Linked DNA regions of Xenopus tropicalis. The protein of the gene in region 1 interacts with the protein of each later gene in a pairwise test. Links are inferred from orthologs where the notes say so. Each region holds a gene or a part of one and is shown in the gene's direction. Other genes may lie near its edges. The genes, in order: fars2, agtrap and rcbtb2.

The links.
Region 2: the proteins of fars2 (region 1) and agtrap interact in binary tests that used the Homo sapiens proteins (3 or more experiments, as listed by UniProt). The two-hybrid records come from large-scale screens. The link is inferred for Xenopus tropicalis from reciprocal best matches to the Homo sapiens genes FARS2 and AGTRAP.
Region 3: the proteins of fars2 (region 1) and rcbtb2 interact in binary tests that used the Homo sapiens proteins (3 or more experiments, as listed by UniProt). The two-hybrid records come from large-scale screens. The link is inferred for Xenopus tropicalis from reciprocal best matches to the Homo sapiens genes FARS2 and RCBTB2.

What each region holds. Positions count from the first base shown.
Region 1 is NC_030682.2:88,246,826-88,251,073, forward strand, and holds the start of fars2 (phenylalanine--tRNA ligase, mitochondrial), read left to right. Parts: upstream 1-1,437; 5' UTR 1,438-1,545; intron 1,546-3,294; 5' UTR 3,295-3,301; coding exon 3,302-3,383; intron 3,384-4,248. UniProt on the Homo sapiens protein: Is responsible for the charging of tRNA(Phe) with phenylalanine in mitochondrial translation.
Region 2 is NC_030683.2:65,681,337-65,685,586, forward strand, and holds the start of agtrap (type-1 angiotensin II receptor-associated protein-like), read left to right. Parts: upstream 1-1,418; 5' UTR 1,419-1,456; coding exon 1,457-1,483; intron 1,484-4,250. UniProt on the Homo sapiens protein: Appears to be a negative regulator of type-1 angiotensin II receptor-mediated signaling by regulating receptor internalization as well as mechanism of receptor desensitization such as phosphorylation.
Region 3 is NC_030678.2:135,041,749-135,045,401, reverse strand, and holds part of rcbtb2 (RCC1 and BTB domain-containing protein 2), read left to right. Parts: intron 1-578; coding exon 579-769; intron 770-2,557; coding exon 2,558-2,684; intron 2,685-3,653.

The sequences.
Region 1 (4,248 bases):
GCTCCAATTTTCCAGTTTAAATGACTGCCCCATGGCTACACAGCAGAGTATTTTTAAATTACAGTAGTGTTGCTAAAAGCAAACACGCAACTTTTTCTAGTGCAGAGTAACAGTACCTTCATACGTTAATTACTTTGATACATTTTCATTTTTTGGTGTTACTGTTCCTTTCTATTCCTAGCAACTTTGCATTTGGTCTTCATTATATATTACAGTTTATTAATTATTTGCCTTCCTTTTCTGCTTCTTTTCAGCTTTTAGATGGGGTCCACTGAAACTGCCACACAAAAATCTATTGCTTTCTGAGGCCACAATTTTGTTATTGTTACTTTTTATTACTTATCTTTCTATTTAGTCCTTTTTATTTCCCAGTCTCTCATTCAAATAACTGACTGGTTGCTAGGTTAAAAACGACCCAAGCAACTAGATAGCTGCTGAAATACCAAACTGGAGAGCTGTCGAACGAAAACCTAAATAACCACAAAAAATAAAACAATGAAGACCAAATGCTAATTGTCTCAGAAACACTCTTCAAAACTATTCACAGGGCCAGAGAGATGTTAATAGAGTACTTAATGGATAGGAAAGCCACATTTTTTTGACTGCAGTTTAAATGTGAATATTAACATTTAAACTGCAGTACAAGAGAAACATATTTTCTCTTTTCACAAATTTATTTTTTTTCCTTTTGAAAAGAGGTAAATGTATGACATGAGTTGTAGTTATCTCACAGTGCCAGTTGCTGAGTAGATATTTCACAATGCCAGTCCCTGAGTATAGGGAATATTATGGTTTTACATGACAAATCGTGACAGCTCTGTAACTGAATTTTCTTACAGCTTAAACTCCATGTCAGTTTAATACGGAGTTAACATACAACACTGAGGCTTAAGCGTGCAGTGCGAATTAATCCTGACACAGGCTAATAATAAATGCTGAATATTGCACTATTACAAATAGCGCTGGGGTGCAATAAGTAAATAGAGCCTTAGGAAGATGCAGACACTCACACTCCCTATACAGTTGATAGGTGAACCAGCGTGAAAGTCTCTTCCCTTCTTTCACTTCTTGCCTACTTTCAGCAGCTTCTAGCGCAAGAACGCATGACGTCACGACTACAGGAGGGGATCTGGGACAAACGTGTTCGTGCCGCGTTTTGCTTTCGGTTGGAACTTTTGTGGTATTTTCTGTAAAAATGCTATTTGCCTAAAAAGCGCCTACGGCAAGTTGTTCCTCTTATCGTAACAGTCATATGTCTTTGTAATATCAGTGCTAAACTTTTAAATATTAAAGATACCTAAATCGGCGATCTATGGAAAATGAGAATGTCGTCGCAGCTGCGAGCGTTGGACCAATAGGGCTTTCTTTTAACACGTTTCAGGGATGTTAGAGTAAATTTACGCCGCTGACATGTTTGTCCCAGGTCCCCTCCCGTAGCTGTGACGTCATGGGCTCGTGTGATAGGATCTGCTGAAAGTGCCAAAGGAGGGAGAAAAGGGAAGAGACCTTCACATTGTCACATAGATTACCTGCTGCTTAGGTCGTGTGAGTGTCTGCACCTTTAGAACTATATGTTAAGCTATGTAGTAATAACCATTTATTGTATAAATATATATGTAGGCTACGTAGTAGATCTAATTATATTAGCTGTTTTAATACATGCTTTATATTACAACCTGTATTAAACTGGCAAATAACGTCAATACCCCCATCTTTAAACTATAAATGTTTTAAATAGGCAGTTCAAAGTGTATAGGAAATCTGTTCTTCATTATTCTTTATTATTCTTTAATATATCATACTCCCAGTACCCACTATTGGCAACATTTGGCTCTGCAGTTGTTGGGAGAATTGTGTACACTCACACACTTAACAGTTATACATTTATTAAAAATGTACTTGCAACCAATCTGTATTCTTTAAAAATACAGACAGTCCATAAGTAAGGAAGAAACACTCCCACAAGAAGACTCACTCACCATACCTGCACACATGCATTTAAAATTATATTGACACATGTATGATTTAGAGTGGCTCTGTGTGCTGCTATTAATGCATTTAGTAACTAAGCAGCATTTACAGTTTTTGTGTGATATTGTGTTGTAAGAACTAAAAACAAGTATATAGGTTCCTAATTGAGAGATTATGTTGGCGCCATATTTATGCGCTACCCATATTGCCATATACATTTAGGGGCACATTTACTAATCCACGAACGTCCGAAAAGCGTCCGAATGCGTTTTTTTCATAATGATCGGTATTTTGCTACTTTTTTGAGTGCTCAATACGAAAGTCGCGACAATTCACGAAATTTGTAATGGCAATGAAAAAGTCGCGACAATTCACAAAAGTCATAATAGCTATGAAAAAGTTGCGACAATTCGCGAAAGTCATACTGGCTATGAAAAAGTCGCGACAATTCGCGCAAGTCGTAACGGCTACAAAAAAGTCGCAAAAAATACGAAAAAGTCGCAAAATGTCCGTTTTCCAATCCGAATTTTTCCCATTCGGATTCGTGGATTAGTAAATCAGCCCCTTAGAGTAATAATTGTAGAAAACCATTGCACAAAAACTTCCAGCTTTGGCTCTGCAACACATTAATATACAACAATGTTTTAGGTGAGTCAAGCATGCCAAGTCTGCATTCTTTGCCTCTTTATTAAAACAAATTTAGCAGATATTTTTGCAGCTAATTACAGGTATGGGACCTGTTATCCAGAATGTTCGGGACCTGGGGTTTTCAATAATTACAGTAATTAAACACAATAGGATTGTTTTGGCTCCAATGAGGATTAATTCTATCTTAGTTGGGATCAAGTATAAGGTACTGTTTTATTATTGCAGAGAAAAAGGAAATCATTTTAAAAAAATGCAACTTATTTGATTAAAATGGAGTCTTTCCGTAATTCGGAACTTTCTGGATAATGGGTTTTCGGATAAGGGGTCCGAGACCTGTATTAGGGATGCACCAAATGCATAATTTCAGGATAAGGCCAAATACTGAATCCATCACTACAGATTTGACTGAATTCTGAACTAATCAGAACCCTAATTTGCATATGTAAATGCATGTTCAGGTGAATTAGATCCTGAAAAAATGGCTGGAATTTGGCAAAATCAGTGCATACTTAGTAGTGATGAACTGATACCTGCCTGTGTATTTTTTAATTGAGAACATGACCAGAAGCTGAAAGATATAACTTTAACAGTTCTATAGTTATCATACAACAACATAATTTATTGACTTTATGTTTATTTAGTGTAGCAACTCCAATAGCATTTATTTTTCTGCAGATTCCAAATGGATGTAAGAAAATATATTCTGTCAGGACTCAGGAAGCATTTATGGTCTTGTAATTCAGGAATTGGTGGAGTAAGCTTAGGTAAGAAAGTATATCAATATATACATTTTCTGTATGTTTGAGCTTATAGTTGTCCTTTATTATTCTCTACACTTGACAACACTACCTAGCATATGATCTATATTGAACATATTTAGGTTCACTCTGTACGTCATATCTTACAAAATAGGAAGGAATGCATTGGAGAAAACATGAACATACATTTAAGGTTTGTGTGCATTTGTTGTGTGTTTTTTTTGTTACAACTGAGTGAAGAAGAAATGTTATTGTAGCTTTTTACTGGCATTGACTTCTTTCTGCTGCTTCAAAGCATTTATTGTGGCACAAGTAGCCTTTAGGCCATATTACTACTACAGCTTACTATTAACGTTCTAGATATTTTTTCATCTCCATTTTAGTTTAGCTGTTTTCAAATAGTTCATCAGAAATGACTTTTATTAAGTGAGATTGATTGGTTTGAGATTTAGGTTTAGTTTAATTTTCCCTTTACAGGTTTAAGTAAAGGGGGCAACTAAGTAAGCGAGTGGGCACAGACTCTCTAAACTCTTAAGAAAGAAGGAAAGGCTAATAAAGAGTTAATCTCAAGCTGCAGGCATACCTTCAATTGAATTGCTGAAGATCACAACTATCACGAAAATGGTTACGAAAAAATCATATTAGTCACGATAATATCGTATTGGTGATCCGAAAGTCACAAAATTTTCGTACCGAATGATTGTAAACAGCGGCAGAAGCTTTCTGAATTTTTCGTGCAAGTGTACAGAAAAGTCGCACGGACGTACGAAAAAGCTGAAAATATGCTCGGAACTATGAGTTAGCTTCCTGCTGATTGGCTCAGATCCACATTCCTAAGGGGGGGAGTGAGTTCTTAGCATTCTTGAGGGAG
Region 2 (4,250 bases), on another chromosome or scaffold:
TGGAACCGGGCGCTCCAGCTACTTCTGCTGCTCCGGCTTCTTATGCCGCTCCTTGTACGGCGGCGACAGGCCCTTTTATAAGGTTGCGTCCCTTATAAGGTTGCGCAACCTTATAAAAGGGCCTGTCGCTGCCATATAAGGAGCAGAGCAGCAGAATAAGCTGGAGTGCCTATGGGGGCTACTGTGTATGGGAGCACTTACTATGGGGGCATTGTGTATGGGGGGTACAGTCTATGGGGGAATTGTGTATGGGGGGGTACTTTCTATGGGGGCAATTGGGGTACTGTCTATTGGGCCATTGGGGGCATTGTGTATGGGGGGTAAAACTGGTACATAGTTATAACTCACTTATAACTGACTGCCTCCTCTCTTTATTTGTATTTTATATGTAGGAGTTGCTATATTGTTTTCCTTAGGTAGTACAGTATGAGGGTATAGCACATTTGCGTCTGATCCCGCCATTTCAACTATATTAAAGGAGTATTTTTTAATGGGGCGTGGCCACAAAAGTGGGCGTGGTCAAAAATTGCCACGCTGCGCGCACCAAATCTTTTTGTCCCTCTTTTTATTTTTCAGATGTTGGGAGGTATGAATTCAGCCAGCAGGAAGTGGAACAAGCAGGCAGGACTAGTGGGGTTTTGGCGGAATTTCTCAATAAGTCAGTCCGAAACACTAACTTTTTTTAAGCACAATCCTTATATATTTAAAAGGAGTATAATTCACTGGTACATTCATAATTTTGATATATGTCTCTTGAAATAAACCCATCCTAGCAGCCCAGTTTTCTAGTGTGGTGGTGGAGTAAAAAGTTTCCAGGTTGCAATCCTAATGACTGAAACGATTGTCACACACCCAAACAATGTGAAGCACAGCCAGTTTGTACAACATGGCACCAATGCTATGAAGGGATTGCATTAAACCCTCTGAGCAGATCACTTGTATATTCAGGGACATATAATAAATACACGTTGCAGGACATTACTGTTCGCATTTAAACTAAACTGCAATCAGGTTAGCCTGTTACCTGGATTTTTTAGACACGTCCCTCAAGTGATCTGGTTACCCTACTGAGGAGTTTTACATTACACCCTATACCACCACTCTGCTTGAAGTCAGGTACATGTAGGAAACAGGAACTGTGATTCTTAGACCCTTAATAAAGCCAAGAACTTGGTACCATTTTTTCATATTAACTTCACGCATGGGGATGGAGTTTCAATTTCACGCGTGCTTATGTGTGGCCAAAAAATATATATCTCCGGCAATTTATTCAACTAGAACACAATTATGAAACCGGTGTAACCAACAATTGCTGCAATATCACATGACAGCTCACAATCCCATGTGACCCCGCTGACTTAGTTGAGCAAAGCCGCTAGGAAGAGGCATCACGTGATGCGCGTACAGTCGGGCAGGCAATTTCTGAAGTTTAGGGAAGGCAAAAGGAGTCACGGATATGGAGTTACCGGCTGTTAACTTAAAGGTATTGAAGCTTTAGAGAGTAATTGTCTACTTATTAGTGGGGGCGTGGGAACGTTATAAAAACTATTCTAAAGTGTTTCTGGAAGGGGAGATGTGAGGTAACGTGAGGTTCCGCTATGGGATGAGGTTCAGTTGAACTACAGCACCCTACTTTGTATAATATGACTGCTCCGTAACTGCCAACTAACATATCCGATCCTCATTTACAATATTGTATTGCTCTATTTTCCTTACGCTTCGCTAGGTGGGGGCTAAAGGCAGATACTGTAGTGCCAAGGGGCTGCTCTCAGCATATTGCTTTATATACATATTGCCATTATCTGTTGTGTATACCCAGTGAATAGGGAAGCTGCGTACTTTCCCGGAATTCGGCACTTTATTGCTATTGTGCAATTAGCAGAGCTAAAGCCATTGTATGTATTGAAATAAAACTTTGCAGCCCAGTCTTTTACTTTAGGTTTAGAAAAGCGACGGCCATTGACTTTAACCTTTTTTTGTTGATGTGTTAAATTTCCTTCATGACATAATGTACTACACTAATGATCCACATTGTACAGTTGCTGGTATAAAGAAAAACTTTTTATCATTCTAATACTGTTCTTGTTGCAGATGTCAGGTATGCTGTTTAAACATTCAGTTGGTAATATTCTGATAACATGAACATTTTCACAAAGGTCAGGACCCCAAAAATAAGTCCCATTAGGGACAGGCAGAAGAGGCACTTGCCTGGGGGGCAATAGGCAGGTACCTCTATCGCCTACTCTTAGTCCAGGATCTCTTACCCCAACAGTGGATTTCTCGGTGCTCCCCACCTGCATTGGGTTTTTGTGCTTTGCACGTGTGGTGGGGAGGGGGGGTCCCGGAGGAAGCTAAACATGCCATATTTTATATACTCGACTTACTGCACCAGTCTAAAGTTTCAGCATCTCAACAGCGCTTATGATCCAGTGATCAGTTCCCTCTGCCTCCCTCTCTATGCTCAGATCAGTCCCACCCACCCTGATAGTTTCCATCTGTCTCTCAGATCGTTCTTCACCTTCCTCCAATCAGCTTTGATTGTTCCTCTCACTCTGTGCCTTGCTGTTAACTGAAAAAGGTAAAACAACAACAAATATGATTGAAAAAAAAAACAATCTACTAAAAACATTTAATATTTTGTGGGGGTAATTTACAATTTGTAGAAGGTCCATGCAATAAAAAAGCATTTCCAGAATAACAGCTGTGACCTTTTTTCTCTGCAACTTCCTGCATCTGTTCATATACTGTTCCAGAACAGCTGCAGCTTTGTATTCCCTGCACCTGATCATATACTGTTGCAGAACAACAGCTGCAGCTATGTATTCCCTGCAACTCCCTGCACCTGGTCATATACTGTTCCAGAACAACAACTGCAGCTTTGTTTTACCTGCACCTGGTCATATACTGTTCCAGAACAACAACTGCAGCTTTGTTTTACCTGCAACTCCCTGCACCTGGTCATATACTGTTCCAGAACAACTGCAGATTTGTTTTACCTGCAACTCCCTGTACTCATGTATCAATGTGCAGAAAAACAAAGACTGCTTTTTTTTTCTATAACAGTACACACTAATGTGCACTGTTTGTATATCTTTTATAATTTAATAATAGATGCAGGGAGTTGCATAGTGTGTAACAATGTTTTATGGACTATAGATTGTTAGGTCCACTTGGGCACGTTCATTTGTGAATCGTGCACATTTGCTTTGAAAAATACCATTCCACTAACAAAGGAACATTTTACTATTATACTTTTTTACATTTTACAACTATGCTTATTGATCAATAACTAGCTTACTGATCTGGCAGCAGCACAAGCAAAACTATGCAGCCAGGGAGCAGAGAGACACAGAAGGAGAAAACTGGGATGGGTTTTCCCTGCTACTGTTGAGTAAAGCCTGTCTGTCAGTGCTGTGAACACTTCCTGTGGGAGACTGAAGCGACACTCCCACCTTCATTTCACTCTGGCTTCTGACTTGAGAGGTTGTCTCTGCAGCTCTCATATAATGACAGTTTTAGGAGGTAAAATGCTTTCAAAACACCTTTTTTTCTGCATCAGCTGGGCAAGTATCGTTTAAAAGAAGTCCTTATTCACATTAAAAACATGAAGTTGATGCAGGACTTGAATTTGATCCATCTTAAAAAGTGTCTGTGACACTCACATGCTCAGTGTGCTCTAAACAGCTGTTGAGAAGCTAAGCCTAGAGGTTGTTGCAAATTATCAAGCAAATAATAAAGTTGGCCTGGGGCTACAGGGCTGATTATTAAGTTTTGATACAAACTACACTGGTTCCTGAGCTGCTATGTAGTAATTATCTGTATTAATTACTAATCAGCTTTATATTGTGACATTTATACTCTATACATACAGTATATTGTGTGTCGGTCCCTAAGCTTAGTAATTTAAAACCGCACAAAGCATGTTTCTTACTACAGTAAAAAATGAAAATAAATTTAGTCCAGTATTCAAGTCTATCCCATTTCTTGAAGGAGAACTAAAACTTAACAAAGAAGTAGGGTAGAAATGCTGCACATTAAGTTTTGTATTATTATGTACCATGCTACGGCAACCACAGCCCTTTAGCAGTGAAGATCTGTTCCTCTGAAGATGCCCTCAGTAGCTCTCCATCTTCTTTTCTGCTAAATTACAACACATGCTGTGTGCTGCTGTCACTTCCCTGAGTGTAGGGTTTTACTCACAATACTGTATATATAGCATTCACAATACAAGGCTGATTAGTAATTAATTC
Region 3 (3,653 bases), on another chromosome or scaffold:
TTTTTCTTTCATTTGAAAGTCTACACATATTTTTGGACAATGTAAATATCACAACATTTTAATTTGTTTGTGCCTTTTCAATTCGGATGTTTTAATAAATGACTAGACATTTGTGGTTTTCGTGGAAATTAGTTTATTTGTACTTTTAAAAAAAAACCTGTAAAACCGCTAAAATATGTGTGCAGCATCAAAAAAAATGCCATGCCATTTGGGGGGCATGCCCTTTCATCAGAATGTATTTATTTTGAAATATATCAGAATATAATATATTTTTAAACTGTTAGGCTGGATAATGATTTTATTTAGCAAGAAGCTAACACTGGCATTATGATTACTGTTCCTAAGTATCCGATATCAAGACTCTCCTTATTTTTAAGCTCCAGGGAAGAGGACAAATGCTGAAACAAATGTATTCATTCAAAGTATTGGAGCTTTATCGGTTTACATCAGTAAAAATGTATTCAATGTTCTTGACTAAAATCTTTGCAGAATATAAATGTAGATTATCTTGTAAATATCTTGGTACAAAGAGTAATAGCTTTTTTCTATTTATATTTCTCTATTGGTACTGTGAGCAGAATAGTAGAGATTGCAGCCTGTCACTCTTCGCACACTTCTGCTGCTAAGTCCCAGAGCGGTCAAGTTTACATGTGGGGCCAGTGCCGGGGCCAGTCTGTCATTACTCCACATCTCACTCACTTCTCCTGCACAGACGATGTGTTTGCCTGCTTCTCAACTCCAGCTATAATGTGGCGCCTTCTGTCTGTAGGTAAGAATTTGGGAACACTTAGGCAGTTTTACTTATATCTCATAATATCTGCAAAATGTATCCTTAATTTTCAAGAACAGACACCTAGATTCACTTTCTCTGTGTTGTCGAGACCCCATGCACTGTAAATTTAAAGATGGAGTATATAGCTGGGAAGCAACCAACTGCAGTAGAGTGTGGCGCTCACTTCCCACCTCTATTTTTCCTAATGCAATGAAAAAGATGTAGCAGCAGAGGCAACATATTTCTAATTTTTCTGCTCTCAAAGTCGTTTAATTACTGACAAGACTTACTACAGGTATGGGATCCCTTATCCAGAAAGTTCTGAATTACAGAAAGGCCATCTCCCATAGACTCCATTATAAGAAAATAATTCTAATTTTTAAAAATTGTTTCCTTTTTCTCTGTAATAATAAAACAGTACCTTGTACTTGATCTCAACTAAGATATAATTCATCCTTATTGGAGGCAAAACAATCCTATTGGGTTTAAATGATTTTTTAGTAGACCCATATGGAGATTCAAATTACGGAAAGATCCCATATCCGGAAAGCCCTGGGTCCCGAGCATTCTGGATAACTGGTCCTATACCTGTAGTAGGTATACATCTCTACATACATGCTATAAAAAATAATAAAAAAAAAAAATGATGGTACATAATAAAGGGAAATACTGTGACATTTTGCATTTTTTCATCTTCCAGCAGGACAGTAATACCAAACACAAGTCCAAGGTTGCAATGGCTTAAGAATTATTATAAGGGCCCATGTACTACAGCAGTGTGGTTTTTTTTGGTGGGGGGGGGGTGTTTATTTTGCTTCCTACGTTTATTCCTGGTTCACTAAAGTGTTTATTTTTAAATTAAATCTCCTTATGACTATTTACATTTTTTTAAAAAAAAATTTTTAGTGTAGTGCAAATTCTGTCTGATATCCCTAAAGAGTTCAGTGCCTTGTAGTTTTTCCCGATGCAGAGGAAGTAGGGTATTATGTGTTTCAGTGAGATGCCACTGAAACCTCTCATCCTGCTGGGAAATCCAGTATCCCCTTGGACTGAGGGATTTGCAAAACACAGGAAGCCTGTAGGGTTTGATAAACTTTTGGTACAAACAGTATTTTTTGCAATTGGAGCTGAGTTGCAGAGGGAAACACTTGTGGAATTGATATTTAAGGTATGAATTTGTATATTACAACTCTAGCAAACGCATTTCTAAACAAATCTGCTATTTAAATATAACTGACTGTGTTAACATTCCGCCCCCCCCCCCCCTTTGTTGTCAATAACATAACTCTCTAGTAGGATCTTTACCTCTCTGTTTTGCATGTCTCTCCTGTGCTCAGTAGAGGGCATAAAAGTACCACTTTTTGTAACTCTGAATTCATAGAGAATATTTTGGTTAACGTAAAATATGTTAAAATTATGAGTGGCAGCTTGGAAAATAAGCTGTGCAATTCCACCTATTTATTTTATTTTGGCAAATTATACCTCTAACATTAAGACACAATGTTTAATAAAGAAAAACATTTGCAAACTGTATAAGTAGCCTCTTTTAGATAGACCTAATAATTGTGAAGTGATTATTTTATTTGGGAGAAATGGTGGTTAGAGGACTTGGTTCCTGTTGTAATTCTTGTTTGAGATCCTTGTGGCCTTGGGGAAATGAATTTATGTCCTGCTGCCTTGGGTGCTAAAGAGCAAAAATGCTAAATATCTGTAAAGTGCCATGCAACCCCTATGTTATCTGTTCCTTTATATTTACATTCTGTTTTGCATTTTGGTTTCTTTCAGAGCCAGATGATCACCTTACTGTTGCAGAATCTCTAAAGAGAGAATTTGACAACCCTAACACAGCAGACCTGAAGTTCTTAGTCGATGAAAAGTACATATACGTGCATAAAGTTCTTCTCCAGATCAGGTAAAGCAGAGACAGCATCAGTGTCGAGCATGTTTGGATTTTTTTTTCCACTGTTATTTTTAGAGACAACCATCTTTGAGTGGCAGTACATAGCACAGAATACCCCAGAATAGATTCTTTATATTGACTATAGAAATGTATTTTGATTTGTACCGATTAAAGCTTATCTGTGTGAGCTGTCTGATCCAGATGGTCCTGTTTTCCAGTGTGCATAATCTAACATCTGATCATCATGAACTTTCAGTGTGCACTAATTCTATTGGTGCCCCGTGTGCACAACCAGAACAGGAAACACAGCAAAACTCCAGATGTTGTTGCACTAAAACTCCCAGCAACTTATTTTCAGTTGTGGGGATGGTGGGGGTTTTAGATGAATATCAAGCAGGTTGCCTGTGTCTGATTTAAAGACCATCTAAAAATAAAGCATATTTTAGCATATGGTTTAATGAACACAAGTATTTGAAAGTGTCTGCAGAATATGTTTAAAACTGACTTGATATGTGTCGGAATATTTGCATAGCAGTGTCTGAATGTGCAGTTCAAAAACATGAGTATATTAGAAGTAGTGCTGAATTTCCCATTCACACACTGTTAGAAAGACCTGATGAGTTCAAGTTGTATGCATTCTGAAAAGATTTTTCTTATGTGTTCCAACTGACATGCATGCTGAATTTTCAAATGTGTGAATATGTATTCCTTAAATCTGTTGCACTGAGACAGCAATATCAAGTTTAAATGAAATAATTTATGAATGTAAACTATAGTCTAAGTAACCACAAATTGTAATGCCTGCCAACTGCAACCTTCATGTGTTCCCTTTAAAATGCGTTTGGGCCTATTTCTTATTAGTGAAAGTGCACCAAATTCAGTCGGCTAATAGGGCCAGTGATACAATACCTGCCTGCATAGATGTGTTAGAAATTCTATTGTGCTTGGCAGATTTAACTGGAGCCTTCATCTGTATATGTT